Linked DNA regions of Saccharomyces cerevisiae S288C. The gene in region 1 interacts genetically with each later gene. Each region holds a gene or a part of one and is shown in the gene's direction. Other genes may lie near its edges.

The links.
Region 2: mutations in MDL1 (region 1) and EMA17 together harm fitness more than expected from each alone (negative genetic interaction), as found in Saccharomyces cerevisiae (2 studies listed by BioGRID).
Region 3: mutations in MDL1 (region 1) and AGE1 together harm fitness more than expected from each alone (negative genetic interaction), as found in Saccharomyces cerevisiae (2 studies listed by BioGRID).
Region 4: mutations in MDL1 (region 1) and YLR345W together harm fitness more than expected from each alone (negative genetic interaction), as found in Saccharomyces cerevisiae (2 studies listed by BioGRID).

What each region holds. Positions count from the first base shown.
Region 1 is NC_001144.5:525,250-533,694, forward strand, and holds MDL1 (ATP-binding cassette permease MDL1), read left to right. Parts: upstream 1-3,050; coding exon 3,051-5,138; downstream 5,139-8,445. Other genes in the region: SKG3 (Skg3p), read left to right, coding at 1-2,696; ATG26 (sterol 3-beta-glucosyltransferase), read right to left, coding at 5,548-8,445. UniProt on the Saccharomyces cerevisiae protein: Mediates export of peptides with molecular masses of 2100 to 600 daltons generated upon proteolysis of mitochondrial inner membrane proteins.
Region 2 is NC_001141.2:297,988-305,113, reverse strand, and holds EMA17 (Ema17p), read left to right. Parts: upstream 1-3,856; coding exon 3,857-4,285; downstream 4,286-7,126. Other genes in the region: cohesin subunit IRR1, read left to right, coding at 1-637; EMC5 (Emc5p), read left to right, coding at 1,010-1,435; E3 ubiquitin-protein ligase SSM4, read left to right, coding at 5,105-7,126.
Region 3 is NC_001136.10:1,484,489-1,492,540, reverse strand, and holds AGE1 (GTPase-activating protein AGE1), read left to right. Parts: upstream 1-3,550; coding exon 3,551-4,999; downstream 5,000-8,052. Other genes in the region: RBA50 (Rba50p), read right to left, coding at 128-1,447; SNA2 (Sna2p), read right to left, coding at 1,706-1,945; API2 (Api2p), read right to left, coding at 2,307-2,636; YDR524C-B (uncharacterized protein), read left to right, coding at 2,743-2,943; YDR524W-C (uncharacterized protein), read right to left, coding at 3,049-3,138; putative serine/threonine protein kinase SPS1, read left to right, coding at 5,503-6,975; SPS2 (Sps2p), read left to right, coding at 7,238-8,052. UniProt on the Saccharomyces cerevisiae protein: GTPase-activating protein (GAP) for the ADP ribosylation factors ARF1 and ARF2. May be involved in the endocytic pathway.
Region 4 is NC_001144.5:815,293-823,259, forward strand, and holds YLR345W (bifunctional fructose-2,6-bisphosphate 2-phosphatase/6-phosphofructo-2-kinase), read left to right. Parts: upstream 1-5,218; coding exon 5,219-6,748; downstream 6,749-7,967. Other genes in the region: FKS1 (1,3-beta-D-glucan synthase), read left to right, coding at 1-335; YLR342W-A (uncharacterized protein), read left to right, coding at 518-691; GAS2 (1,3-beta-glucanosyltransferase), read left to right, coding at 802-2,469; 60S ribosomal protein uL24 RPL26A, read left to right, coding at 4,020-4,038, 4,486-4,850; CIS1 (Cis1p), read right to left, coding at 6,995-7,300. UniProt on the Saccharomyces cerevisiae protein: Synthesis and degradation of fructose 2,6-bisphosphate.

The sequences.
Region 1 (8,445 bases):
GGGATGCAAAAGAATTATCAGATTCCAAGAATAATAAGAACACATCAACCATGAAAAAAGCCGCATCGAGACCTTCTTTTATCAATTTTACAGATGCTTCTGTGAGGAGTTTGGACGCTAATGATCAGGTAATCATTGCATCAGAGAACGAAAAGACAAAGAAAGATCTAGACAATGTTCTTGTTGTTTCAACAACTTTAAAAAACAGGTATTTCTTAAAATTCAAAAATTCAAAATCATTCAAAACTTGGAACGCAGCAATTAGGCTTAGTTTGTTCGAGTTTACGGCGTTGCAAGAGGCCTACACGGGCTCATTTTTGTCAAGCAGAGGTGTTAAACTTGGTGATATCAAAGTTGTTATGGCAGATACAAAATTCACTTATGAGGACTGGGTTAGCGTAAGATTCGGGACAGGTATGCCATGGAAACGTTGTTATGCTGTTATTTCTCCACAGTCTGGCAAAAAAAAGAAAAATTCGAAAGGTTCAATATGTTTCTATGAAAATAACAAAAAAACCAAAAAATCAAACATAATGACAACGGTAGTAGATGCACGGGCTTTATATGCCGTTTATCCTTCCTCGCCGATATTAATCGACACATCTACAATCATAAAATTGGAAGGTTTTGTCTCTTTTGACAAAAGTGAGGAACCTCAAGAAACCAACCTATTTATCATGCCTGAAAAGCATCAAGGTGTTCCGGGATATGACACTATTATTCGCTTCTTAATCCCAGCTATGAACGCGTTCTACTTATATGGTAGGCCAAAGGGTTTGATTGCCAACAGAACTGACCCAGACTCCCTGCTGTTTGCCTTACCCACTCTTCCGCATATATATTATTTGCAGGTGGATGACGTTTTATCATTAACAAAAGACAAAAATTACATACATTGGAGTGCTGCTGATTGGAGGAATAACATTGTTCAAGTATTACAGAAAAAATTAAGTAAGGGCTATAAAGGCTGTGGTAATAAAACTGTATCAGTTTCATCTGGGATGATGAAGTCGCCGGCAATTAGTTCAGCTGAATTATTTGAAGGGTACGATTCTCTCCCTGAAAGACAAATGGAAAGTCCGCAAAAATCTAAGATGAAGTCTCCTACATTAGCATCGACCGATGATATTAATTCCGCTTCTGCTTCCGTAAACTCACATGCTACCTCAGTAAAACAAACTGAATTATTTGTGACTGATAATTCTTCAAAAATCAATGACTCTGTGTCGGCGCAGTCCAGTGTCACTACTAACTTCAAAGATACTTTTACCACCCCAATGACATCAGGAATGCTCAACCATGAAAATTCAGAGAGAAGCTTTGGTTCAGGATTAAAACTCAAAATCACTGATTCAAATTTGGAAAATATGGAAGACGTTGAAGCGAAATCTGCTAACGAATTCTCTACGACACCAGAAGACAAACATATTCACCTCGCCAATGCAGCCGAATTATCCGCCCTTTACGACAAATATTCCACATCTCCGTTTGGTAAATCGGAGGCTAATTCAAGCCCTAAACCTCAAAAATTGGAAGTTAAAGATCGGTCAAAAAATGAAAACAGAAGCCCCTATGAGAGATACGTAGGTACATCCGCTGAAAGCAAGACATTTGAAATAGGTAACGTCAGAGAGTCGAAAAGTACGATAAATACTTCCCTTTCTTCGCCTTTGAGGGTAGAAGATAGTAGACGTTCAAAAAATGAGGACCTGGGATCTTTGAAAGAGTTTGAAGAGTTATCTCAAAAGATTAGCAATATGGGAATGGCAAATATTTCTTCAGAAGCTTTAAGTGACACAGCAGAAAACAGTTCTTTTGTTACGGACCTGAACTTGAATATCAATAACAGTTCATCGGTCAATCTCAATGAAGAACAACGTGTGCCGGATTTTGGGGAGGAAAACGTATTTGATCCAGATTATATGGAACAAAACCAAATGTTGGAAACAGAAAGTAGGTACACTACGGATGAGTTTGACTTTTCAGATAATCAGGATGCAGCATCCAGTAATTATAGCAATGGGCAAACCAACCGAACAGTAACTGAAACCCTTTCTGCCAGTGACAGAAATGACAAGATCCCACATTCTTCTTTATTTACAAACTTAAACCAGCTTACTTCGAATGGAGGAAACTATCAGGATAGGGAAGATTTCTCTGGTGATCAAATAAACAAACCTCAACAATCTCAACCACTTCATGTGAAAGGACCACAAACTTCGTCATTTGGTTACAGAAATTCTTCAGCCAATAGCTCGCAGCCTCAAGCACCATACCCGGTTGGTCGCCCGTTAGGTAAGATAAGAACGGGTCCGCTGACCGTCCAGCCTATGCAACAAGGTGGAAACTCATCAATGTATTCTTTCCAATCTTCGCAACATCGGTTTCATTCGTCGCAACAGCGCCAAAACCAATCACTTTCCTTCAGAAACAATACCTATGGAAGTGGTAACAATCAAAATACATTCCATCCATCGCCGCAACTGCAACAACAGCCTCAAAATATGAGATATTTGAATAATAAGTTACCAATAAATGATAGATCTCCAATACCGCAAACACAGCACCATGTACCAGATGGCCGTCCCAGCCTCCATATAAATACCACTAACCGCACAAATCCGCTTACTGCACAAAGTGGATTTTCTCAATTTATGCCTCCCAATAGCACATCAACCAACCCATATTCCAGCTGATTCATTTATATTTCATCTTTTCTTTTTTTTTTTTTTACAATTCAGTAGTTTTATATAACTTCCCATAAATGTATTATTTTTTTAATACGACTATAATATACCTCTATACCCTTATTTATCTCTTTACCTTTGCTTTTAAGCTAAACAAATCTTCATTAACAGGTATTATATTACTGGCGTCGCGTTTCGTTTAGGCGCATCGAGCCGAGACTTCAGAATCACAAATGCTTTGTATATATGTTACGTATTCAGTATTGCCCAACATGCAACTAGATTCAACTAAGCAGACGTGGGTACTTACATGAGAAGCAGATCATTGAAATTTTACTAAGTTAAAGAAGAGGAAGGGCTCCAATGATTGTAAGAATGATACGTCTTTGTAAAGGTCCAAAGTTGTTGCGAAGTCAATTCGCATCAGCAAGTGCACTATATTCAACCAAGTCATTGTTCAAACCTCCCATGTACCAAAAAGCGGAAATTAATTTGATTATTCCACATAGAAAGCACTTTTTGTTGCGGTCGATTCGATTACAATCAGACATTGCGCAAGGAAAGAAGTCCACCAAGCCCACTTTAAAGTTGTCCAATGCAAATTCAAAATCCTCGGGGTTTAAAGACATTAAACGGCTATTCGTCTTATCTAAACCGGAATCCAAGTACATTGGTCTTGCCCTCCTTTTAATCCTCATTTCAAGTTCAGTTAGTATGGCTGTACCTTCCGTTATCGGTAAATTATTAGACTTGGCTTCCGAAAGTGACGGCGAAGATGAAGAGGGCTCAAAAAGCAATAAGTTATATGGTTTTACGAAGAAGCAATTTTTCACAGCATTAGGAGCAGTATTTATAATTGGAGCAGTTGCTAATGCAAGCAGAATCATCATTTTAAAGGTCACCGGTGAGAGACTGGTCGCAAGATTAAGAACGAGAACAATGAAAGCTGCATTAGATCAAGATGCCACATTTTTAGATACTAATCGTGTCGGTGATTTGATCTCAAGATTATCATCTGATGCATCTATAGTGGCCAAATCGGTCACACAAAACGTCTCTGATGGAACAAGGGCAATTATTCAAGGGTTTGTCGGTTTTGGCATGATGAGCTTCCTCTCGTGGAAATTGACTTGCGTAATGATGATTTTAGCCCCTCCTTTAGGTGCTATGGCACTGATATATGGTAGGAAAATACGAAACCTATCAAGACAGTTACAAACCTCAGTAGGTGGGTTAACAAAAGTGGCAGAAGAGCAATTAAATGCTACTAGGACAATTCAAGCATATGGTGGTGAAAAAAACGAGGTTCGCCGCTATGCAAAAGAGGTTAGAAATGTATTTCATATTGGTCTGAAGGAAGCGGTTACTTCCGGTTTATTCTTCGGAAGTACTGGGCTAGTTGGCAACACTGCAATGCTGTCGTTATTATTGGTTGGAACAAGCATGATTCAAAGTGGTTCAATGACTGTCGGTGAATTATCTAGTTTCATGATGTATGCCGTGTATACCGGAAGTTCATTATTTGGTTTATCGAGCTTCTATTCAGAACTTATGAAAGGTGCTGGTGCGGCTGCCAGGGTTTTTGAATTAAATGACCGTAAGCCATTGATTCGTCCGACTATTGGAAAGGATCCTGTGTCATTAGCCCAAAAACCCATCGTTTTCAAAAACGTGTCATTCACTTATCCCACTCGGCCCAAACACCAGATTTTCAAGGATTTGAATATTACTATCAAGCCTGGTGAACACGTTTGCGCTGTCGGTCCATCAGGAAGCGGCAAATCAACAATTGCGTCTTTGTTGCTCAGGTACTACGATGTGAACTCAGGATCGATCGAATTTGGTGATGAAGACATCAGAAATTTCAACTTGAGGAAGTATCGAAGACTAATAGGATACGTGCAACAAGAACCACTACTTTTCAATGGGACTATTCTGGACAATATCCTCTACTGCATTCCGCCTGAAATTGCGGAGCAGGATGATCGTATTAGACGTGCTATTGGAAAAGCTAATTGCACAAAATTTTTGGCCAATTTTCCAGATGGATTGCAGACTATGGTTGGTGCTAGAGGCGCGCAATTGTCCGGTGGTCAAAAGCAAAGAATTGCATTAGCTAGAGCGTTTTTACTAGATCCTGCCGTCCTTATTTTAGATGAAGCAACCAGTGCCCTTGACTCTCAAAGTGAAGAAATAGTTGCCAAAAATCTTCAGAGACGTGTGGAAAGGGGGTTCACTACTATATCAATTGCACATAGGCTTTCGACGATCAAACACAGTACTAGGGTGATTGTGTTAGGAAAACATGGCTCAGTGGTTGAAACCGGTTCATTCCGAGATCTAATCGCCATTCCTAATAGTGAACTAAATGCGCTGCTTGCCGAACAGCAGGACGAGGAAGGAAAAGGGGGAGTGATAGATTTGGACAATAGTGTTGCCCGGGAAGTATAAGAAGTTGCCGCAGTATGGAATCACTTTTCTATGCCACAGTTATGGTATGTGTTGGAAGACAATTAATTATCGCATTATGTTTGCTGAATATGAAATTGTGTATTCTATAATTTAAATGATGCCCAATGTAATTTACACAAACAGTTTTTTTTTAAAGCTCCTTGTACGCCTTTATACACATTAAATTAATATTAGATGCACAACATACGGTACGTTTAGGAAACTCAAATTAAGCTTTATTTTTTTACTTTTTTATTATTGTTACTATTATTCTTATTATCAACATTATCGTTTTCATATCTTTCCTGAGTACAAATATGACTGAAACTTACAAAAAAAAAATTAATTATTTATTACTATTAATGATTAGATGTTACGCTTTTTTATAAAAGTGAGAGTGATACTCGGTTTAAATCATCGTCCACCCTTCATCCGTTGTTTCAGCAGGTGTCAGTTTGGTTGCATCTACATTTTCCTCTTTCTTGCGCGGAGTTTTCACTCTTGATAAAGTAACGCTTCTTGCATACTCAAGTTCGTTGTAAATTGCACTTATTGCAGTTTTAATCCCATCTTCTTTGGAAATTTTCTTCTTTATTAATCCAGCTCTATCCTTCATTATTTTGTTCGTCGTAGCTACTTTTAAAGCATCTGCTAATGTTTGAGCGTTAAGTTTCTTTAAAGCAATACCAACTCCAATGTCTTCTACTCTACCTGCATAAAAGAACTGATCACCAAAGAAAGGTTTTATAACAGTAGGTAAACCAGCACGTAATGAAGCTCCAGTAGTTCCAGAACCACCATGGTGAACGGCAGCATCGACTTGTGGGAACAACCAATCATGGGGAACGTTTCCGATATTTAAAATGTTTCTTGGAAGATCTACCTCTGTCTTCTTTGCCGCCTTATCGCCCAACCTTTCTGACCATCCCTTATTTAAAATGCAGTATACATCTGCTTCCATAACTGCTTCGACAAGAGCTTCCGTCATTTCTTTGGCATTAGAGACTACAATCGAACCAAACCCGATATAAACCAATTTTTTTCCTTTTGATCTTGCCTCAGAAATAAATTCTTGTAATTCTGCTGGCGGTTTGAAAGTACTCTTATCATCAAGAAACCAATATCCTGTAACTCTCACCCACTCGCTAAAATCAATTGATGGCGGAAAAATTGTAGGAGAAACATTGTATAAGAAAGGAACATTATTCTGCTGTAAAAGAAAAAGATTTGTTTTCCCTAAACCTAGAGTTTCAACTCTCCACTTGTTTACTTGCCCACTAATTCCCTTCCAGAAAACGTTTTCGAAAAGGACATGTGTCAGGTAGTTATAGTTACCGCCCCTTTTTTGATCTGGTACAATAAATGCATGTGGATATGCTCTTGTTCTTGTCCATGGCATGGTAAATGCTCGAAAATAAGGAATTTGCAATGCTTCAGTAATATGAATACCAACCATAGCTGAGGGTGATTCAATCAGAATATCAAATTTTCTTCTGTTACAAACCTCCCAAGATGTCTGTAAAAGAGCATCGATCCATCCCCTAAATTTGCTCGAAGCTTCTCTCAGCATTTTAACATTCATTGATTCATTTTCCACCATCAAGGACATCAACTCCACTGGGTTACCAGCAATCTCTTCAAACTGGATTCCATGACTTTCAACAAAGTCTCTAAATTCCGAATGTGTAATTATTACCACTTGGTGACCTTCTTTTATCAAGCCCTTTCCAAGTGCAATATATGGTTGAACATCCCCTCTTGAGCCAATCGTCAATAATCCAAACTTATAACTCTTGTTTGGTTTTATGCTTGTTTTATAGTGCGGATTCTCATCAATCATTAACGGTACCTCAAAGCCCTCGGCATTAATTTTATCTTCGAAAAGCTTCAACTTCGCTGAGTCAGGGTTATGCTGAACATCGCCAAGAGAAGCACTCGATATATTCGATCCTTCTGCACTGCTTGCATATATGTTATCTAAGAGCTTTAAAAGAATGCGTTCAATATCATCCCTGGCGACCTCAGTGCTAAATTCAAAAAATAGCTCCTCGTGACCGTGAATTACTATAACCAATACAAAATAACCAAATCGAAATCCCTTTTCTTTATAGCATGTCTCCACATCAACCAATGGCAAAACCATGTATGTATTAGACCCTGGTAATAACGATCTGAAGCACACCGTATCATTGGATACGTAAATCTTACCATAAACGGGAACATTTCTATTCAGGTATGTGTAGTAAGTACTGATTAGTGACTTCTCTTTATTAAACTTGAAATGGTACCTGAACCGCTCGTTAGCAGAAACCTCTTCTGTTTCTTTAATCAAATAGGTATCATCCTTTTGAAACGGGATAAACTTGTTCCGGTAGTGTATTGGTTTGGCAGCCCACATTTCGGCAAAATTTTTGAGGTGACTTGGCTTCCAAGCTACGGTTTGCTCTTGACTATCTTCTTGTTCATGAATATGAATCGTGGAATGCACAGAAGAGTCTATATCATTCGCCGCATCTTTATATATTTCCTCCACATCCTCAACTTGAGAATCTTCAAGAGGTTTAGCTCTACGAAACCAACTATTGCTTCTTTCTCTAAATCTGAATCGACTCTTTTTCCCATTTTCCGAAGAAGGCACAGCCGAAGTTGGAACATTCAAATATTTTGAATCCTCGCCGTTATTCTTTTGCTCAACTGTAGCTGGTGTCTCTTTTCCAAAACTTGATTTTGATTTCTTGGCTGGAATATCATAATAAAGTGTATTAACACCGGATTTCTGCAATATAGCCAACTGTTCGCCAAGGCTCTCTTTGACCTGACTACCGGACCCATCCATGAAAACAAACATGAAATCATCGATAGCATAGGTCTGTGAGCTCTCCAAAGCTCTTAATCTCAATGTTAAAGCTTTGTTGACTATAGGTTGATCATCTATCTCTATAATGTTGGGCAGCGGAATTTTTAAACTTATCGAATTGTTTTCAGAATTCTGAGCTGCGAACTGCTCCTTTTTCAAAGCGTTCACCCACGATTTAGCGGAGAACTCTGAATCTGCATTGAATTTGAATGTACTTTCATCTGTGTAAAGCTTAAATGTTTTCGTAGCACTCCCGTTTAAGGTATGTTTTTGTGTTTCAATTTTTTGGACCTCCCTCAAATCTATGGTTAAAACCGGAAAGTATAGCTCAGTTGATGAGGTATACATAGAAAATAAATGATTCTTTAGTACGCACCAATACCTGGTAGACCTAATTAGTTTTGTCCTGATATTAAGGTTTCCAGACATTTTAACCGACCGAGGATTCTT
Region 2 (7,126 bases), on another chromosome or scaffold:
TGCAATAAAAATATTTGAGCTCAAATTGCCTGCAGACGCTACAACATGGAGATATAGTATGAGTGAACAATTTCCATTTTACCTTCACGATAATGCTTCCAAAGTGCTTTTGAAAATATTTTTATATTTGGAGAGTCTTTTCGCTAAGCAAGTTGACGTCCAATTAGAAAGGGTAGCAGATGAAGACGCCAACCTAAATGATTTGCCGGAAACCGGGTTTTTCGAGAATATTGAAACTGAATTCCTTTTATTCACAGTTAAATTGAAGGGACTAATGAAACTGAATATTTTAGATGAACGATTTGCTTCCCGTGTGGCACTAAACAAAGAAAAGCTTGGCCCGCTGTTCAAAAAAATCGTAGATGATACCATAATGGAAAATCCAGAACCTAATAAAAAGAACATACAGAAAGCAAAATCAAATCAAACACAGAGGGAAAAAGCGCCTTTACAACCCAACAGTGAACGAGAAACCGACCATGCAAATACTGAAAATAATGATCCAGATATTCCCATGACAATCGATCTAGAACCTATTGAAGAAAGTTCGCAAAATAATTCAGAGTTAGCACCAATTGAGGAACACCCAACCGTGGTAGATGCTATAGACAACAGCGACGAAATCACACAAGATTAAGGGAAAAGATATACGTCAGACTTATTGCTCTTTTGTAAAACAATAAGATCTATAATATATATCACATCTTTCTTTTGAACATACATAGCTTCGTTAGCAGTTTTTGATTAATCATAAATACTTCAAATATCCCTTCGCATTAGACTATACTCGCTGGATGATATTCGGCTATGTATTTTCCAAGCCCATTCAATCGTCATCAAAGCGCCCTTTGCTTCTTCGAAAACTCGCGATGTAAACGCAGCGCAGAAAAATCTACTTTTGAATATAAAATAAAGTCAACTCAGATAGTTGTTATGCATGTTAATTGTAGCATCTAAAAAGCGATCGTAATTAAGCCCTACCGAGATACAAAAAAGCAATTATCAAGAGATGTCGTTTGTTTCCAAGCTTCTCTATACAGTCTCTGCATTGGTGTTATTTCATTCTGGTTTCTCAAGCTATGAGTTTCATCACTTATTAAAACTTAACTCGCTTAATAATGCACAAGGTGCAATCAGCAAGTTACCTAAAGATATCATGTATGAAACGTATGCAGGATTGATACTCTTTGTTCTTGCAGTGTTCACTTCGTTCGAGAAATTACAATATTTACCAATTGAGAGTAACGATGGGAAGATAATATCCCAAGGAAACTATCTAAAAGAAATCGCATTAAATAAAGCCACCAACGTGGATAACTTGATAGGAAGTAACCCTAATGGTGAGATCATATTTACTCCAAGCTTTGTTGACGTTCATATGAAGAGAAAAATTTGCAGGGAATGGGCCTCTAACACTGTAAAAAAAGAAAAATAAATAAGATACTGAAAACTAGAGCTAGAACTTATAATTTCATACATATATACATATCAAGATCTAATAAGAGGATTAGCTAGATTTTGAGCATAAATTCGATAGCGAATCTACTCGAACATCGTAACTGCACAAAATAAGGCGTCAGGTGACCAGGCACCTCTTCTATTTACACCAACACAGACGCCTTTCATAGAGGAATAGAAAGCTATATTAGAATCACCAATAATGCAAGCGTCTCCTGTGTTCTATAACGTGAACCATAAGCTTGAGTGGTTTCAAAAGGATTACGGGGCGGATAGTATCTTTTGCGTCTTCGTTGGATAGTTTGTTATTAAGATACATAAATACACACTAAATTTAGTGGTAAAATCTTCTATTCAATATTATCGAGAGTCTCGGTTTGAGGGCTAACACTCTAATGGATAACCGTTCGGAATATTTCTATTCCAGTTTACATAGTATAAGTACGATATTCATCCTCATGTTAGCGTAAGTGGAACTTGTTCAAATCATCCTGAGGTACAGACAAGCCCTTATTGATGATTCATTCTGTTATTTCAGGAACAGGTAATAGTTCTCCACCACTTGAACGCCCATGCTAGTTGTAAGGTGCCGTATAAAGGCAGTTATGATATCATGTATGCGTTTATTATAAGTATTATCGCCTGCAGAAATAACAAAAGTGACACATATTGGTACAGGTACTAAACCGATGCTAACCGTACTAAAACAATTTACCACCCGGCTCGAGTTTTTTATTCTTCACAAACTTTTTCTGCATTTAATTGTGATGAATAACGAATAACTATTTCCTTGATCACCTCAGTAATCGCGAAACGTGCATTTGTGGTAGCAACAGTTTTAATGACAGTAGCATAGCCTATTGCACCTCCACATGAAGAAGCTACCAGTCCACCGCCAGAAATAGACAAAATGGTAACATCGCTTACATTAATTAGCCCTAATACAAAAGGTTGCCATTTGCTAATTTGTTTTGGTCGTCGAAAACCATTTGTGTCGTCGTTAACCTTTCCATTTATTATTCCAGCAATAAGAGCAAACCCCAATGAGACAGTACAAGCTGTAAGGGGAACATGCCCTATTACCAGCCCAAATGACCAATTGACTAACCAATCACCACACACACCCGCAGCTGTGTTGCGTGCGACGTTACCCAATGTTATGGTAATGGCTTGCTATATACTGACTCGTTCAGGTGAATAGAGAAAACCCGTATCACCGTAAACCCATCAGTGACCGTTTTAATTACCACAGCTGTTGCTAGCGAGTAAAAACCCTTTTCACCACTGGTATATAATATGTTCATCGTAAACAACCAATTGGCAACTATCCGGGAGGTCACGGCTGCGCTGCATACTTTTAAAACAGCTTGACGTGGATTAGACCAATTCACCATACGTTTGGAAAACATACTGGCCATTATCCAAGGTGTAAGTATAACGTCAAAGCTGCAATCAACTGTAGAATCTCTTCCTAACACATTTCTATATAACGCAACCAACATTATCATTGGAAATGGCATACAAACAACGCGTCTGAATAACCTTGCATCGTCCATGTTATTGCCTTTTCTACACCACGCAGCACCTCTTTAATGCAGCAGCCGTCACTATTTGCATTGACGCATGTCTTCATCCTTGAATGCCTGGCGATAGTATAGGTAAATTAGTTAAATACAGCTTTGAGTAATTAGGCATGTACTTCCTCTGATTTAGTGACAGGTTCAATTGTTAAAGTATTCCCATTAGGCCAAGTTAAAAAGCGAAATTTATTTTGTTTTACAGATTTCCATTGAGTTTTTATGCCTAAGGGCGTGTTTTTTCAGCTCGTAAAATCATGAAGTTGTAGCACGCTGGCTCACCATGACAATTCCAATGGTGCGGTTCAATCAATTCACTGAGGTAGAATGGTGGACCATGATATTCAGAAATAGGTAAGTCCTGAGGTAATGATTAGGATTTAACTGTTGACTCTATTATAAGGTATACAGAATATACTGGCATAAAACAAGGATCATTAACACGCTAAACAGGGTGTTGTTTAATATCATGAATGCGCAAATAAGCCCTTTTTGCTGCAGCAAACTTTATGTACCAAGATCTTAAAGGGACTCGTTACCAAGATGCGAGTGAGTAGTCTATTATTAGAGAGTAGATCAGCTTCCGCCGCTTCCTTTTTTAACGGGAAAAAAAGTAGAAGCTGGGACAACTTTTTCGCTGCCAATAATAATTAAAAAGAAGGACCCTTTTTTCATTATAGGTATATTTGTTAAATATTTCCATTCCTAAGACAATCAACAACGCAGTTATGCAAACCATCAAAGAGGGCAAATGAACTATTCCCGCTCTTCGTAAGGATGCTGTATTACCGCCGTTAGCCATCAGAATTACTATAAAAACAATGCGGTTAATTTTCATTGCGAAAATGCTTCAATATTCATTTCTACCATTTTCCCCGTTCAATCTTTTGAATTTTGATAATAGTATAAGCGTAAGCTGGTTTATAACATACTCAGTGATCGTTTCCATTTGGGGGTTTGCTGTGTGGATTGAAGGAGCATATAGGAATAAGATTAATCTACAGCTTCCAAGATGTACGAAGATAAAATGCTCCCGCTACAATACGAGAATAAAATCCCCCAAGTGGTTCAACTGTAAAAATTGGATGCATTTTTTCCTATTATACCTTTTTCTAACCGCTTCTAACTTAATTGTTCAATTGGCCTATTTTTCAAAAGAAATGTGTAGTCAGGGTATAAACGTTCCTGGAACGAAGAAACCAGGTAATAGAGTTTATTTATCGGTTATCATACTAATGGGGAACGGGTGATAGAACTTTTACCAATGAAAAGAAATCAGCAGGCCATAATTTGGCTTTATTAAAATTAATAACATTATGGTGCTGTTGCGTTTATTAAAACAGACTAAAGCTGTTGGAATGAAATTCTAATGTTATCTATTTAGTAGTAATAGCATCACATGCGGTGTAAGAGGATGGCGTAAATTATGAGAAGCTGTCATCGAGGTTAGAGGAAGCTGAAATACAAAAATTGATAATGTAATAGGAGAATGAAACATATAAAACGGAATGAGGAATAATCGTAATATTAGTATATAGAAATATAGATTCCATTATGAGGATTCCTAGATCCTCGAGGAGAACTTCTAGTATATTCCGTATACATAATATTATAAGCCTTTATCAACAATGGAACCCCCAACAATTATCTCAAAATTCACCCATATCTTAATTAGTAACATGAATAGTACTAAACAGATGATATTTTAAAGTTTCATTCCAACAAGCATCTTAAATGTGCTATTACTTCCTAAAATAAGTAGTTTTTCCAACGAAATAGCCTTGTTGGCGCAATCGGTAGCGCGTATGACTCTTAATCATAAGGTTAGGGGTTCGAGCCCCCTACAGGGCTATCTTTTTACCATTTTCAATTCAATAGAAAAATTAAATCATTAGAGACGGAAAACTGGTTGAAAACGCATCGATTGAGGACATTGAAAAGATGATTATGACCGATCTATGAAGCCATAAGATTACGTTAAGAATAGTTCTTTGTTACTGATTTCAAAAACTGTTTTTTTAGCCAAGAGTACCACTAATTGAATCAAAGAGACTAGAAGTGTGAAAGTCATGGATGTTGATTCTGACGTTAATGTCTCCAGGTTAAGAGATGAACTGCATAAGGTGGCAAACGAGGAAACAGATACCGCCACTTTCAATGATGATGCGCCATCCGGCGCCACCTGCCGTATTTGTCGTGGAGAAGCTACTGAGGACAATCCTCTTTTCCATCCTTGTAAATGCAGGGGCTCAATTAAATACATGCATGAATCCTGTCTGTTGGAATGGGTAGCTTCAAAAAATATAGACATTTCAAAACCAGGCGCGGATGTTAAATGTGACATCTGTCACTATCCCATTCAATTCAAAACGATATATGCGGAAAACATGCCCGAAAAGATACCTTTTTCTTTACTACTATCCAAGAGCATCTTGACATTTTTCGAAAAAGCTCGTTTGGCTTTAACGATTGGTTTGGCCGCTGTACTATATATTATCGGTGTTCCTTTGGTATGGAACATGTTTGGAAAATTATACACCATGATGCTAGATGGATCATCCCCTTATCCTGGTGATTTCCTAAAGAGTTTGATTTATGGTTATGATCAGTCAGCAACTCCAGAATTAACCACGAGAGCAATTTTTTACCAACTTTTACAAAACCATTCGTTTACGTCTTTACAATTTATTATGATAGTGATACTACATATAGCATTGTACTTTCAATACGATATGATAGTAAGAGAGGATGTTTTCAGTAAAATGGTTTTCCACAAGATAGGTCCAAGATTATCTCCCAAGGACTTGAAATCACGTTTGAAGGAAAGATTCCCCATGATGGATGATAGAATGGTTGAATATTTAGCGAGGGAAATGAGAGCTCATGACGAAAATCGTCAAGAGCAAGGTCATGATAGACTGAACATGCCAGCCGCAGCAGCAGATAATAATAATAATGTTATTAATCCCAGAAACGATAACGTTCCACCTCAGGATCCTAATGACCATCGGAATTTTGAAAACCTTCGCCACGTAGACGAATTAGATCATGATGAGGCTACGGAAGAGCACGAGAACAACGACTCTGACAATAGTTTACCATCAGGTGATGATTCGTCACGAATTTTACCGGGGTCTTCAAGTGACAACGAAGAAGATGAAGAAGCAGAGGGGCAACAGCAACAGCAGCAACCAGAAGAAGAGGCAGATTACCGTGATCATATAGAGCCCAATCCGATTGACATGTGGGCAAATCGTCGTGCGCAAAATGAATTTGATGACCTAATCGCTGCTCAACAGAACGCAATAAACAGGCCCAACGCTCCGGTTTTCATCCCACCACCTGCCCAAAACAGAGCTGGAAATGTCGATCAAGACGAACAAGACTTTGGCGCAGCTGTTGGTGTGCCACCAGCACAGGCTAACCCAGACGATCAAGGACAAGGCCCTCTAGTGATAAATCTCAAATTGAAATTGTTGAATGTCATTGCTTATTTCATAATTGCCGTAGTTTTCACCGCAATATACCTGGCAATTTCCTATTTGTTTCCAACTTTTATTGGGTTCGGTTTGTTGAAAATTTATTTTGGTATATTTAAGGTTATTTTGCGTGGGTTGTGCCATCTTTACTACTTGTCTGGCGCTCATATAGCTTACAATGGGCTGACGAAACTGGTCCCTAAAGTAGATGTCGCGATGAGTTGGATTTCAGACCACTTAATTCATGACATCATTTATCTTTACAACGGCTACACTGAAAACACCATGAAGCACTCAATTTTCATCAGAGCTTTACCTGCTTTAACGACGTATCTAACCTCAGTCAGTATCGTTTGTGCTTCATCCAATCTTGTCTCGAGGGGTTATGGCCGTGAGAACGGAATGAGCAACCCTACTAGAAGGCTGATTTTCCAGATTTTATTTGCACTCAAATGCACTTTCAAGGTGTTCACTTTATTTTTCATCGAATTGGCTGGATTCCCCATTCTAGCTGGTGTAATGCTAGATTTCTCATTATTTTGCCCAATCCTGGCATCCAATAGTCGGATGCTTTGGGTTCCTTCAATATGCGCAATATGGCCTCCATTTTCC
Region 3 (8,052 bases), on another chromosome or scaffold:
GAAAATACCTGAGACAGTTTTTTTAAAAAAGAAGCTAAGGAACATGACTCAAAGAGACACATTATTCTTGTTTTTATGAATAGGCGCTGGTCGGCGCACCTGTATGTACTATTATTTTTTTCTCTATCTATTTCTTGGTTCGGAAGTCCCCACCGCCTTGTTTCCATAACCAAAGTGCATCAATAGCATAATTTCTGACTGACAAATTTCTAGTGAATTTCTCATCAGAGGAGATTTCTAAGGATTCGATGACTTTTCCGTCTTTAATCAAGTCCCAAAACATGGAATAGATCTTATCCATAACGTTCGATATGCTTCCGTCTTCCTTGTATGTGTCTGCATCTATTTCTGGCACTAGCTGGTAGTAGCTTTTTTGGCCTAGCTTATAAAGTATTCTCCCCAAAGTTTGTATAGCAATGCACCTTTGAGAAGGAAAAGTGGATCTTGCTAAATGTTCTAACTCCACTATGGTGTAACCGGCGAGTTCAGGCGAGTCGCTGTGATGGTGCAACCCTGAGTGAATGGTAGAGTCTATTTGTCTTGTGGGTGGAACAAGGTCGCCATTAAAGTCAAACCTACATTCAGATACGTCTTCAATGATGTAATTCTTGTCTGTTTTTTGCTGAACCGGTTGCATCCATTTTAATTTGTCGACCTCTTTGGGCAAATCAGGGAAGTATTTTTCGTGTAATTTATCGTTGAAATTAGGATCATTTATATCAAGTTTCTCTAAATTGATTTCATTTTGGCTCTCCTCTTTGATAAAATGAACGTCTTTGAATAGCTCTTCATTTTTCATATGATCAATGCATTGTGCCATCTGGAAATCTAAGGGTGCGATATCATCGACGTCATCATTAGTTTTTGCTTCTTCTTCCACGTCTTTTTCTTTTCCTGCTTCTTCAAATTGAACATGTTTTGCATCTTTGCCTAACATAGGCCTAATTTCTAAGGCAACGTCTACATCTTCATCGTCTAACGGTGGTAGATCGTATATGCCTTGCTTGTTGCCACCTACCCAGGTACCAGAAGCGCCTTCTATTTCTGCAAATAATGGAGTGTTGTTTTCGTCCTTCGCTCTTTTATTTATGTTTTTCAATAGCTTGGCAATCAGTTTGGGATCTAAAGAGTTATACAGATCCTCACGTTCTTGCACGATTTGTTCATCACTCATTCCCTGCAGAACTTTAATATTTTCATTATGGATAGATTTTGCCTCGGATAGTGGGGCGTCTGTACTCGTTTGTTGCTTTTCAGCATCCTTGCCACTAGTTTTTTTCTTTTGGGCTCTTTTTTCTCTTAGTCTTTCCTTCCAAGATGATATTTTCTTGGGTTTGTACAACTCGGGAAATCCCGTTCCACAGTTGTTGGTACTAAGAGTGCCATTGTCATTACTTTCAACAGAGTCAGATGTATCTTTCTCCACTATATCGCCCAGTAAGTCCATTACGATGGTGGCAGAGTGATTTATCTTCTTTGAATGAGGGAAAATGAATATATTAAACTATAGATTTACTTAGCCGACAGCGATGAGATGGCTTGCCATTACATTATTATTCATTTCAGGTACATAGAAGTACCGAAAAATGAAAAAGAAAAAATAAAATAGAAAAAAAAGAAAGAAATGAAAAAAAAAGGGTAGCAAAAGAGCCACACATCACTTATTACGAAATTCTGCGGAGGAGGATAACGTAGAAAGAGTCACTCATGCTAAACTACCATAGTTATCATCCGAGGAGGAGAGGTGTGAGTACCGGGCCTCGTTCTCCTCATATGGATGACAGCTGATCACGTACAAAGCATGGATCAGACCAGGGAAAAACCCTAGTAAAAATAACAGAAAGTTAATGAGCAGATCCTTGGTAAAAAAACCTCTTTTTAGCCAGACTGCTAAGGGAGGAATGAAAATTGCAATAAAAACTAAAAACCAGTCGCGGGCGTGCATAGTGTAATTCTAAAGTTGTATGTTCTCTAATACGATGACTGGTACTTGCAAAATGCTTATTCGAGGACTAACTAAGATCGATCAGTAAAGATCTCTTGTCAATCAAACCTTTCTCGCACAATAGGAGACAGGAAAAGGGGAAAGAAAGTCGAAAAAGTGCGGGTTCCGGTACATGGATTATATCGCCCCGGGACAATGCGCGTTGCCCCTCACCGGCCCGGAATATACGCGTGGTTGCGCTCTTTCGTTACCCGCGACTGTTTTGGCGCCCCATTCATGCTACGCGGATCTGGACCTGCTTATTTCCCGAGAATACGTCCCGAAAAAGTAATGCAGTTTCCGAAATGGGCGCGGTAAGGGCCTAGGCCCAACGTTGGGCCTTTTTCAGTTCCAAAAAAACGACTCGTTGGGAGCCGTGCGGTCCCGTCTTCGGGCGTGATTGGCCGCTTTGGCCGCTTCTGGGCGTAGGACGCCAAAGTTTATTTCCAAAATAGCGAAGACCAGAGCCACGCCTTTTCTTTTTGCAAGCGGAATATCCGCTTGAGAAATGAGAAAAAGAAAGCAGAAAAAAAATCATCGCTTTTTTCACGTTTGTTACATGAGATATGGTGCTGTGTGTCATCGCGGTGGTTTTCCTGGCTTTTCTCCTCATATATAAGGAACTCGAGAAATTCTTGATTTTCTTTTCCATCTTCTCCTACTGTATTATTTACTTTATTAGTTAATATTGTTTTTGATTTTAGAGGAAAATCATCATTAAACATAAGTTTCAATCAACACTAATCATCAACAAAACAATGCAATTCAAGACCATCGTCGCTGCCTTCGCTACTGTTGCCGCTGTCCAAGCTGCTAACGTTTCTACCAATGGTTCCAACCGTACCAACGGTTCCAACACCACCAGCACCAAGATCTCCACTGGTGCTGCTGCTTCCAACGCTTTGGGTGCTGGTGTCTTCGGTGCTGCCGTCGCTGCCGGTGTCGCTTTCTTATTCTAAGTTCTTTAATTTTGAGTTTAGAGACATTATACTCCTATAATATCGAAAAAATTTTTTTATTATCGCTACACAATCAAGTTTTTATGTGCTTTTTTAATAATATTATTATAGAACAAGAAGAAAGACCGCTCTTTCCTTGAAGGGACCAAAGAAGGAAAAAAAATATGTTGGAAGGGTTTTATATGATCTTTTCATGTTCGTTCACTTGTAATGGAATATTAGTTAGAAGATGTAAATAACTTATCTGTTTATTTTTATTTCCTCTCTATAATTATTACCTGTATTAATTCATTATCTAATATAAAATCTAATCTAATAATAGAATTTTCTGATGTTTATCTTTTTTTTTGTCGTATTCTCGGCGAATTAATCGCGGAAAATTTCATATCGAATTTTAAAGGAATGTCATTTTGAACGCTAAAGTATTATTTATTCTCGTCCGATGTTGGTTTTTTTTCCTATCGCTGTCGTTATAATAGTACTTGACGAAGAGAGAAGAAAAGTAAAAATTTGAGCGAAAAAGAGGATAAAAATCACATTGAGGCAGAGTGGTTAAGGTAGCTGTACCAGTCATTTTGAATACATTTTTCTGGATGTTCCATCAATAATGGATTTTTATACTACTGATATCAACAAAAATGTTGTGCCTTTGTTCAGTAAAGGAACAGTAGCAAGAACAGCATCAAAAGCACAGTATCCATCATGGTGCAACAACGCGTTAAAGTTAACTAATATTCTTCTTAAATCTCTTCGATGTAAATTTCAAACGAACCGCTGCGAGGATGATCGAGGTTTTGAGGTATATTGTGTTATTTTAAAAAGCATCGCTTTATTAATGGCCGCGAAAGAATCATTGATATTACTACAAATACCTCCTTCTTTACCATCAGGATTTCCATTTCGTTCACCCCAACTGTCATTTACATATTTATCAACCCGTCTTAGTGGGAGCCAACACAAATCTACGCATTCTCATCACATCAATCATCAAACTCATCCCATTCATAGTAGCAGTAGCAACAGTAATAGTAATAACCGTATTCCTACAAAAACAGATTCCTCCAAACAGCATACACAGCATTTCTCTTTTGCTAATGCGGGAGCCTCCAATAGAGACGAACTGCTATCAATCGTGCGCAAAATTGATAAATCTAATTTGAAGTGTTGTGACTGCGGTAGCACCGCAACAGTAGAATGGGTGTCAATCAATTTATTGTGTATATTGTGTATCAAATGTTCGGGCGTTCATCGATCTCTGGGTTCACATATCTCCAAAATTAGATCTTTAACGCTGGATAATTTCACCTCGTTAGAGTTGATGCATCTTTTACAAAATAATGTTTCCAATAGTAATGTTAATGCCATTTATGAAAGCAATCTCAGGAACTTTCCAGTTAAAAAAATAACTGCAAATTCTGATGACTCGGAAAGATCCAAATTCATTATTGATAAGTATCAATTTAAAAAGTTTGTTATCGACAGCAACCAAGGCAGAGAGGCTTCTTTGAAGTCTTTAATTAAAGCTATCCATTTAGATAGTGTTTTCATGATGCAAAGAGCCATCGCCCAAAGTAAATATTCCCTAAGAGAATTGACGGCAAGCGAAAAAGAGCAGAATGATCTAAACCATTCTTCCATTTTTCAATATTCCCTAAAGCACTATGAAATTGTTGATGGAACGCCCATTTTTTTTATTACAGAATTTTTATTGTGCAATGGTATTCATATAGATAATTTACCGAAGATTACTACGAATTGGTCTCCAAAGGTTTTAGAATATTGGGAAACTAAGTTGGAGATGTACGGAACATTCCAAGCTGTAAATACTTCTCGTCCAAGATCAGGGCCGCATTTAAATATGCATTCAAATGTAGATTCAGCTTCGTCCTACAATAAGAAACACGATTTGAGAGTTAACATACCTGAAAGAAGTGCCTCAGCAAGTAAAAGGTGGAGTTTGAGCTCCATTCCTAAGTCTTCTCAAAATTTGATGTCCCCAACAAACTTATTAACAATGCATAAGTCTTTAAAATTGGCCAAAAAGGACAAAAAATAACATATATGATAATTTAACTGTATTTTTTTCCCTTTTCTAATACTTTTTCCTCAAGTTATATTTCGGAGCTGTCCCAGGTTCGGAACAATGCGGCATCAGGGATAAAAAAAAATGACACATAAAAACGAAAAAGACACAAATTCCATTTTTTTTTTTTGACGCGAAAGAATGACACTACTTTCTTCTATTGTAACCATTTCTAACATCGATATTTTACTTGTTAGTTCAGATATATACTAAAGAGTCACTTAATATACTGTTTTTGTTTATTATCTTGGTTCCAACTGCTTCATTTAATATTTCCTATCCAAAAAAAGCCAGCTAATTCTCTTCTTTTTTTTTCTTATTTTGCCATTTTCAATATTATCGATTTAGTGAACACCTGGCTAGTCAGTTGTCTTAGCAAACATTTCTCAAAAGAAAGCAAACCAGCATTTGCTTTTTAAATTTAGTTTTTTTACTAGCTAATTCATTTACTAAACAACAAAAGAAAATAGCACAAAATGGAAAGCAAAGAAATATCAATTAGGTCAAGAACCCCTCCATCGAAGCTATATTCCATCCAATCATGTATTGGCAGAGGTAACTTTGGTGATGTGTATAAAGCAGTGGATAGAGTTACGCAAGAAATTGTGGCAATTAAGGTGGTCAACCTGGAGCATTCCGACGAAGACATTGAACTGTTAGCACAGGAAATTTTTTTTCTGGCGGAATTGAAATCTCCTCTTATTACAAACTATATTGCAACAATGTTAGAAGATGTCTCTATGTGGATTGTCATGGAATATTGCGGCGGTGGATCATGTTCAGATTTACTGAAGCGAAGTTACGTCAACGGTTTGCCTGAAGAAAAAGTTTCCTTCATTATTCATGAAGTCACCTTGGGTTTGAAATACCTGCATGAGCAAAGGAAAATTCATCGTGATATCAAAGCAGCTAATATTTTACTAAATGAAGAAGGTATGGTTAAGTTGGGTGATTTCGGAGTAAGTGGCCACATTCGTTCCACTTTGAAAAGGGACACTTTTGTAGGAACGCCGTATTGGATGGCTCCGGAAGTTGTTTGCTGCGAAGTTGATGGGTATAATGAGAAAGCAGATATATGGTCCTTGGGTATCACCACCTATGAGTTACTCAAGGGCTTACCCCCATTATCTAAATATGATCCTATGAAAGTTATGACTAACTTACCAAAAAGGAAGCCTCCAAAATTACAAGGTCCCTTTTCGGATGCAGCAAAGGATTTCGTAGCTGGTTGTCTTGTTAAAACACCTGCTGATCGGCCATCGGCATATAACTTGTTATCATTTGAATTTGTTAAGAATATCACCATAACGAACTTGAAAAGTGATGTTGATCTAATTAAACAGAAAAAGGTTCAGGAGAGATATACAAAAGTTCCCAAATACCCTCTTCAAAATCGCTTGTATAAAAACAGCAACACAGTGAGGGGAAAGGAATTTTGGAATTTTGAATCGACAAGACTAAGCACAACACAAATTTCCAAAGAGGAATTATCTCCCATTACACAAGACTCTCCAACATCATCTTTAAATATGGAAAGTCCTTATTTACTTCATGGGCAAACTGTAACGCCGATAACCAACCCAAGTTCTTCATCATTTAGAAAATGTACGCAACCAGTTTTCGAGCTTGATTCAGGAATGGATATAGATTCAGGCTGCCCAAATGCTCAAGCAGAGACCGAAATAGTTCCTCTCTCTAATCATAATAAGAAGCATAAAAAGAACGATATTCAGGCGTTGAAGATAGAAAAGTTTGACTACTTGAAAAACATTGTATCTCATATTCTCAACAGAATGTATGATCGTGCGCGCGACGATGAAACAAGAAAATACGTAAATGAAATGTTAAAGCAATTCATTAAAACTGAGGCAAACGTTCCTGGATTTAATGAGGTTTTTATAGAAGAGATCTCACTAAGAATTGAAGCAATAAAGAAAGGATTCGTTTAAAAAAATAGATATATATATATAATGTGTGTATATGCATGAGTTTTTGTTTTCCATTCTCTTTCATCTTCAATAAATGAAGGATGGATATATTGAATTATATAACAAACAGTAAAAAGTCATGTGTTTTTGATTATTTACCTGCTTATTTCTCCCTTTTTTTTTCGATTCTTTTTTTCTGATCGAGCGTTTATGTCTTTACTGTCCCGTCATTGATGCGTCTCAAAAAAAATATTTTGTGGCATTACTTAGACTATAAAAGAAAATGCCAATTTGGAAAACACAAACATTCTTCACTAGTATTTCTGTTATTCAAATAGTCAATAAAGAAACCAAAGTTTCTACAAAAAAAGAAAAGGATAGCATGTTGAACCAGTTGAACACAATCTTAAGATTTTTATTCTTGTTTCTGCAGTTAATTAAATCATCCGCTGCAGTTGAACCTAATGGTGGACCGAATATTCTAGATCACAACATTATGTTGGTTAACACTAATGCAACGATCCCTAAAAAGGAACAAACTGATTTTGAGGTGATTTCTCCAACAAAACAAACACAAGTAGATGAAGACTGTAAAAAAGGCTTGTATCATATTGAGAATGCTGGAAATTTGATTGAACTGCAAGCTAAATGTTGGAAAGTGGTAGGAAACATTGAAATATCAAGTAACTACAGCGGATCTCTTATTGATCTAGGGTTAATAAGAGAGATAGAGGGAGATCTTATTATCAAGAATAACAAACACATTTTTAGAATCCAGGGTTATAATTTAGAGTCTTTGGGAAAGTTGGAATTGGATAGCCTAACTTCCTTTGTATCATTAGACTTTCCCGCTTTAAAAGAAGTTGAAACCGTTGATTGGAGAGTTTTGCCTATTCTAAGTAGTGTTGTCATTAACGGAAATATTAAAAAGATCAAAAATATTATCATATCTGATACTGCATTAACCTCCATCGATTACTTCAATAACGTCAAGAAAGTGGATATTTTCAATATCAACAATAACAGGTTTTTAGAAAATTTATTCGCAAGTTTAGAAAGTGTTACTAAACAACTAACCGTCCACTCTAATGCCAAAGA
Region 4 (7,967 bases), 290 kb from region 1:
TCCACTCGATTATGCTATTCTGGCTAAAGCCCTCTCGTCAAATTCGTCCCCCAATTTACTCTCTGAAGCAAACTCGTTTGCGTAAGCGTATGGTCAAGAAGTACTGCTCTTTGTACTTTTTAGTATTGGCTATTTTTGCAGGATGCATTATTGGTCCTGCTGTAGCCTCTGCTAAGATCCACAAACACATTGGAGATTCATTGGATGGCGTTGTTCACAATCTATTCCAACCAATAAATACAACCAATAATGACACTGGTTCCCAAATGTCAACTTATCAAAGTCACTACTATACTCATACGCCATCATTAAAGACCTGGTCAACTATAAAATAATACAATCAATACTTGCTTGAACGCTTGATTTTACTGATATTCTATCCAAAAGCAAGTAGACCAGAAACTCTCAAGATGTTGCAAATACCGTTCGATGTTTTTGGTTTAGATTGTTTTAATGTTGATGCTTTTTTACTTATTTTTGGAAGCGTCTTTTTAATTTAGTTTTATATTATAGGTATATGAATGTGTTTATGCCAATAAGGGTTTTTTTGTACAGTTATGTGATTATAAACAGTCTTTTGTCTAGTTTTTTTCACCAGTATCGGCCTCTATTTATAAAAAACGGAGCAGCTTTCGGTGTCAGTAATTCTGAAAAAATTTGTGTCACTCTGATTGTAAATGAATTAATTTAGCTAGATAGTTGCGAGCCCCAACGAGAAGATTGTCAGACAAAGACAACATTCAACAACCTACATCCGTTACTATTCGTTAACTCGAGGTACTTGAAACTTTTCAGTTAAGTATGAACAAGAAACAAAATTTTTACGCAGCCATTATTGTGGCTATTTTTCTTTGTTTGCAATTGTCTCATGGCTCTTCAGGTGTCAGCTTTGAAAAAACCCCTGCTATTAAAATTGTAGGAAACAAATTCTTTGACTCTGAGAGTGGGGAACAGTTCTTCATCAAGGGCATTGCTTACCAATTGCAGAGAAGTGAAGAGGAGCTTAGCAATGCAAATGGGGCTTTTGAGACAAGTTATATTGATGCCTTAGCGGACCCAAAAATATGCTTAAGAGATATTCCATTTTTGAAAATGCTAGGAGTGAACACACTGCGTGTTTATGCAATAGATCCGACAAAATCACATGATATATGTATGGAAGCTCTATCTGCCGAAGGAATGTACGTCCTATTAGATCTTTCAGAGCCTGATATTTCAATAAATAGAGAAAATCCATCTTGGGATGTACATATTTTTGAAAGGTACAAATCTGTAATTGATGCAATGTCATCCTTTCCAAATTTGTTGGGGTATTTTGCAGGGAATGAAGTGACAAATGACCATACAAATACCTTTGCATCACCCTTCGTGAAGGCCGCAATCCGAGATGCCAAGGAGTATATTTCGCATTCTAATCATAGAAAAATCCCTGTCGGCTATTCAACTAATGACGATGCTATGACAAGAGACAATTTAGCAAGGTACTTCGTTTGCGGAGACGTTAAAGCTGATTTCTATGGGATAAATATGTACGAATGGTGTGGGTATTCCACGTATGGTACTAGTGGATATAGGGAAAGAACGAAAGAATTTGAAGGTTATCCAATTCCCGTGTTTTTTTCGGAATTCGGCTGCAATCTTGTAAGACCAAGGCCATTCACTGAAGTTAGTGCCCTTTATGGCAATAAAATGTCCTCTGTTTGGTCTGGTGGCCTTGCATACATGTATTTTGAAGAAGAAAATGAATACGGAGTTGTTAAGATAAATGATAATGATGGAGTGGATATTCTTCCTGATTTCAAGAATTTGAAGAAAGAATTTGCAAAGGCAGATCCTAAAGGCATTACAGAGGAAGAATACTTAACGGCAAAAGAACCAACTGAAGTAGAAAGTGTTGAATGTCCACATATTGCTGTCGGAGTTTGGGAGGCAAACGAAAAACTACCTGAAACACCTGATAGAAGCAAGTGCGCCTGTTTGGATGAGATTTTGCCCTGTGAAATAGTCCCTTTTGGTGCTGAATCTGGAAAATATGAAGAATATTTTAGTTATTTGTGCTCTAAGGTTGACTGTTCCGATATTCTTGCAAATGGCAAAACCGGTGAGTACGGTGAATTCTCAGATTGTTCTGTCGAACAAAAACTTTCCCTTCAGCTGAGTAAATTGTATTGCAAAATCGGCGCAAATGATCGCCATTGTCCTCTAAATGATAAGAACGTTTACTTCAACTTAGAAAGCCTGCAGCCCCTTACAAGCGAGTCGATCTGTAAGAATGTTTTTGATTCTATAAGGAACATCACATACAATCATGGCGATTATTCAAAATCAAATCCATCGCGTAGCAAGGAAAGTTTGAACGTAAAGTACCCATCGAGTGAAGAGAGAGAAAATGACGGCACCATCGCATTTAAAACTTCAGGGTTTGTTATACTTCTAATTTCTATGATAGCTGCTGGAATTCTTCTATAAAAAATTCATTTAATATTCAATGAAGTTATAAATTGATAGTTTAAATAAAGTCAGTCTTTTTCCTCATGTTTAGAATTGTATTAATGTACGCCGTTTACGTTGGAGTGTAAATGTGTCTATTCCAGAACGAAATCTAAATGAGCAGTACAGGCAGTTCAGATGGTACTGAAGCGGTACTAAAGATGCATGAATTGAACAGATGTGGTAGTTATGTATATGAGGAATATGAGTTGTCACATTAAAAATATAATAGCTATGATCCCATTATTATATTCGTGACAGTTCGTAACGTTTTAATTGGCTTATGTTTTTGAGAAATGGGTGAATTTTAAGATAATTGTTGGGATTCCATTATTGATAAAGGCTATAATATTAGGTATACAGAATATACTGGAAGTTCTCCTCGAGGATATAGGAATCCTCAAAATGGAATCTATATTTCTATTTACTAATATCACGATTATTCTTCATTCCGTTTTATATGTTTCATTATCCTATTACATTATCAATCCTTGCATTTCAGCTTCCTCTAACTTCGATGACAGCTTCTCATAACTCATGTCATCATCTAACACCGTATATGATAATATATTGATAGCATAACCATTAGTTGATAGGTGATGGTGGAATTTTATTTCAACAGTTTTATACCTCTCTTATATAAGCACAGGAAGGTCCATATCCACATTTAAACTTGATTAATACTTTTTTTTATACCTTTAACTATCATCATCAATAATTTCTTTTCTGAAAGTACGACATCAAAGTCGCCGAGTTTTGTCTTCGGAATAAATACTAGGTCAGATGAATAAAGAGCAGGAATTTACTATCTCTGATAATTTATTATGCTCCTCTAGTGCAATGGTTAGCATGCATTCTTCCGGTGGCTGTGATCCGGGTTCGAGTCCCGGGAGGAGCTTTTAATTTTTTAGCGCACTATTCTAATTTTTAAGGAAAAAGCATATTTCCGAGTCAGTGCATAGAAAGAACGGAGGCTACGATGCCAGCACAGTGTCTATAAAGTCAAGAAATACATTCAAACTCTTCGCGTAAGGGCTGTCAATTTTTCATTTCCCTCAAAGTTAATGCGCAAGAGTTAGGATGATCTTGATTATTAGTTATTTGTTTGTTCCATCAATTATGCCGACGTCCATGAATGCTATTGAAGTATCGATTACTTATGCTATTCTATTGTATTTGAGCCGGCGGCTAGTAAACAAGACAGCATACCTTTCCAACATCCGTACATATTGATTATTGTATCTATGATTTTCATGTAATGTATGGGTTAACTAATCCTTTCTCTTCTTTTTTTTTTTTCTGAAAATCAGTAGCTAGAGGAACCTGTTCGTGAAAGATATGGAATATTCCGTCTAGGGAAGAGCCGAGAGCTGAGAGCAGTATCCATCGGATGGAATCTTGCCTGGATGCGTAACGACGACAGCTTGTCTAGAAGGCGAAGTACAAGATACTAAGAAGACTATAACAACAGAAGACAATTTTGTAGTGCGATTCTATATTATTGACGTAACCAACAAAAAAGTATCAGAATGGCTAAACAATCATTAGGTATGTGCACAAATGCTAAATCACTGAAACCCTGTAGAGCTGGAATTGAAAATATAGTTTGTACCTTTTGCCTGAGGGCAGAATGACTCAATGTTATCTTAATTCGATTAGAAAAAGAAGGTGCGTTATCCAAGGTTGAAACTTGTAAACTATTTAGGTGATGTCTCATAACTGCAACCACTGGAAAATGACGCAAATATCAAAATAATAGGGAGATAAAGTCTCACGACATGAAAAAATCATAGAATTATTGTTCAATTTATCTAGCCGTATCTTACCTTATGGAAAAAGTGTGAATATGTTTTTCTAAATCGAGCTTCCCGGAAATTACACTATATTATGCATCCGTGATACATCTGAAATTCAATACTTTCTCCAAGGTCCTGCTTACTAAGAGGGTAAGATTTGTTGAAACTCGAAATACTAACATTATTTTCATTATTTTAGACGTTTCCTCCGACAGAAGAAAGGCTAGAAAGGCTTATTTCACCGCCCCATCCTCCCAACGTCGTGTTTTGCTATCTGCTCCATTATCTAAGGAGTTGAGAGCTCAATACGGTATCAAGGCCTTGCCAATCAGAAGAGATGATGAAGTTTTGGTTGTTCGTGGTTCCAAGAAGGGTCAAGAAGGTAAGATTTCATCTGTTTACAGATTGAAATTTGCCGTTCAAGTTGACAAGGTTACCAAGGAAAAGGTCAACGGTGCTTCCGTTCCAATTAACTTGCACCCATCCAAGCTTGTCATTACTAAATTACATTTGGACAAGGACAGAAAAGCTTTGATCCAAAGAAAGGGCGGTAAGTTGGAATAAATTATGTAATTCCCTGAAAACTTCCTCGAAATTTATTGCACTTTTTTTACTCAAACCATTTAATAATCATATGTAAAACGTATAAAATAGTATCCATTCCACTGTACTCAGTGTCTTACGTAAAGGGCTGTATACTGGCACTACCTTTTACTATGGATATGTGCTAGCTTTTTCGGAGAAGAAATGTTCGCCTTACGCTAGAAACCGGGGTTAAGGGGGCGTGAGAATGAATATTGGCAGACAAGAACCGAGATAGAATCTTAACACAAAAACAGTTCATCCTACTTCTACGCCTTTATACAGTTATACTGAAAGATCTTTGCATAGGGGCATAGTTTAAAATAAAATATAGGGTTGTCATAGCAAACATGCCAAATGTGCTTTCTGATGATGAAGAGCTCCTTAATGGACTAGGAAGTGAGATTATGAAACCCTCTAGACAAGGTAACCATATGGCAAGGACCGTCAAAAGGTGGGTAAATAAAGAACGTGCTACCACAGCCGATCTGAAAAATGTTAATATTGATGGAGTTCATGGACCGGTAAATACCGAAAGTTATATATCACCAGGACAGCTTTACTCCACTGACTCGGGCAATTTATTTCATGCTGGAAGAATCCTTGTCGTTCTAGTCGGTCTTCCAGCAACATCAAAGACACTATTGTCAGTAGCGATTACAAGATATACAAGATGGTTAGGAGTTAGGACGAAATCGTTCCATTTTTCAGAATATAAAGAATCAGCTAAAAATATACCCTCAGACTATTTTTGCGTAGTGCCAACGTCAAAAGAAGGTGTAGCGTTTGTTGAAAAGCTTCGCATGCAGATGTTGAATGATATACTGGCATTTTTCAACGACTTGTCAGGTCAGCTGGCCATTTATGATGCCCTAAACATCCGTAAAATTGACAGAAAGAATTTGGAGACAACGTTTTCTGAAATTGGAGTTAAAGTACTCTTCATAGAATCAATCGTGTCTGATCAAGAAATCATGAATAGAAACATAGCTCTTGCACTGGAGTCGAACGATTACAAGGGACTTTCAACTGATGAAGCCATTGACGAATATATGAGACGTTTATCAGTGAACGAACCATACTATGAAATGATGACACATGACGAAGAATTATCGTACATTAAATATATAAATTTGGGAAAGCAGATAATTGTGAAAGATAACATACATGGTTATTTGGTCAACAAAATAGTATTTTTCTTAATGAATTTGAGGCAGAAAAAGGGGTGTGTATATTTTGCTCGCTGTGGCACCAGCGATAAAGACAACTACATACATGATGAGGAACTAAACGAGGAGGGAATCCATTACTCTCAAGTTCTCAAGGATTTTGTCCTCCAACGAATTAAACAGAAGAGACAGGCCAAAAAAAATTCGGATTCCTTAGTCGAAGTAATAGATGGAAGTCATGATGAAGATTTGAAGACTTCCTTGATAGTTTGGACAGGTCCCAGGAAAAGAACCCACGATACTGCACTCTTTTTTTCAAAAGAAGGTATTAAAGTTCAGCAACGGTCAGAGTTGAGACAGTTGAACCCAGGAAGTATTGCTGATCTTACTGATCAACAGATAATGGACAAATTTCCATCAGAATATAAAGAATCATTAAAAGACCCATATCATTTTCGATTCCCTAGGGCGGAATCTTACCATGACTTAGCCGTTCGTATGGAACCTTTACTATTAGAAATGGAGCATACGAGCAAGGACATTCTCATCATTGCACATGAGTCAACATTAAGAGTATTATATGGCTATTTAATGGCTTGCACCTGCGTAGAGTTACCAAATCTAAATTTCACAAGAGACAAATTAGTTGAAATTTCATTCAGCCCTTTCTGTAATACTGTAGAGTTACTGAACATTCCTTTAACTAGCTAATATACTGGAGTTGCATCGTTGATGTGTATTATCTATATTCAAAATAGTTATTTTTATGTTTAAGAAAGGATTAAGAACAATTGAAAAAAAATTACCATTAGCAACGAATATTAAATTGTAAATTATTTAGAGATATTTTTCTATAATATGCTCGCCTACCATTCTCTTTTATACAATATTTAGGTTTTACCTGGAGGCTAAAATGATATGAGGGGACGATAGCTTAACATGATTGTGACACAAACTTTAAAAAAGGCTTTCAGTTGAAGAGTTTTCTTCCGCTATAGTCTCCAATGCTATCTTACTTTTCTTATTACGTTTATGTCTACCTTTCATATCATTTCTTGTAAGCAACTCCTGCATTTCCGCTTCCTGGGCAGCCTTGAGTAAATCATATCTGGTAATTTTATCAGGTTTATTGCTCACATATCTGCCTGAACCAACAACGTTGATATATTTCCATGGACATGCTACCCACTCTGCAATAGTGGAAGCTGAATTGATTGTGTTTTTTGAAACTAACCCGATGGGACAATTACTGATCGATTGCATTATTAAAGGTGATAAATAATCCTTTGTTATTTGTGCCCCTTAAAATTCATATACACTTTATGTTTAATTCGACAGGTATAACAGAAAGAAACAAGGAAAACAATGCAATTAATCATTAACTGCACCAACTTTTATATGAATATATTGTGCTACATGTCTTAATTAGTCCTCTGTGAATGAGCATCACAAAGAATCACGAGGAAAAGATTGATTACTTAATATTGATAGGAATCAGCCGCGGAAATGGAAATCTTGGTAATATAATTTTAATGCGGCACGCTGAAAATTGATGGCGGCCTGCTAGGAGCCCTATTGATTCCGCGGAAATAGGCGGATTATTACAAACGTTGAGCATTCAGCAGGTGCGGCTGTGCCTTTTCACTTTCAGCTAAGATGTTTGCAAGCAAGAATTAACAGATAAGCCGCTTCGCTAGTAACGCAACTCATTGTGTTTTTAATGGAAGCTAAGGATGGTTGAAATTATGGGTACCCTGAGATAAGATTATTAACTATGATGTAAGTATTAATCATTATAATAAGGGGTACCTGCTCATTCGCATTACCATACATTGACTATTAACGAGCAGAAAGTTTTTGGAAGTTTTGCAGATGAAGTGCATGTTTGATAATTTGAATATGCGGATTTCCTTATTCAAAACTTTCTTTA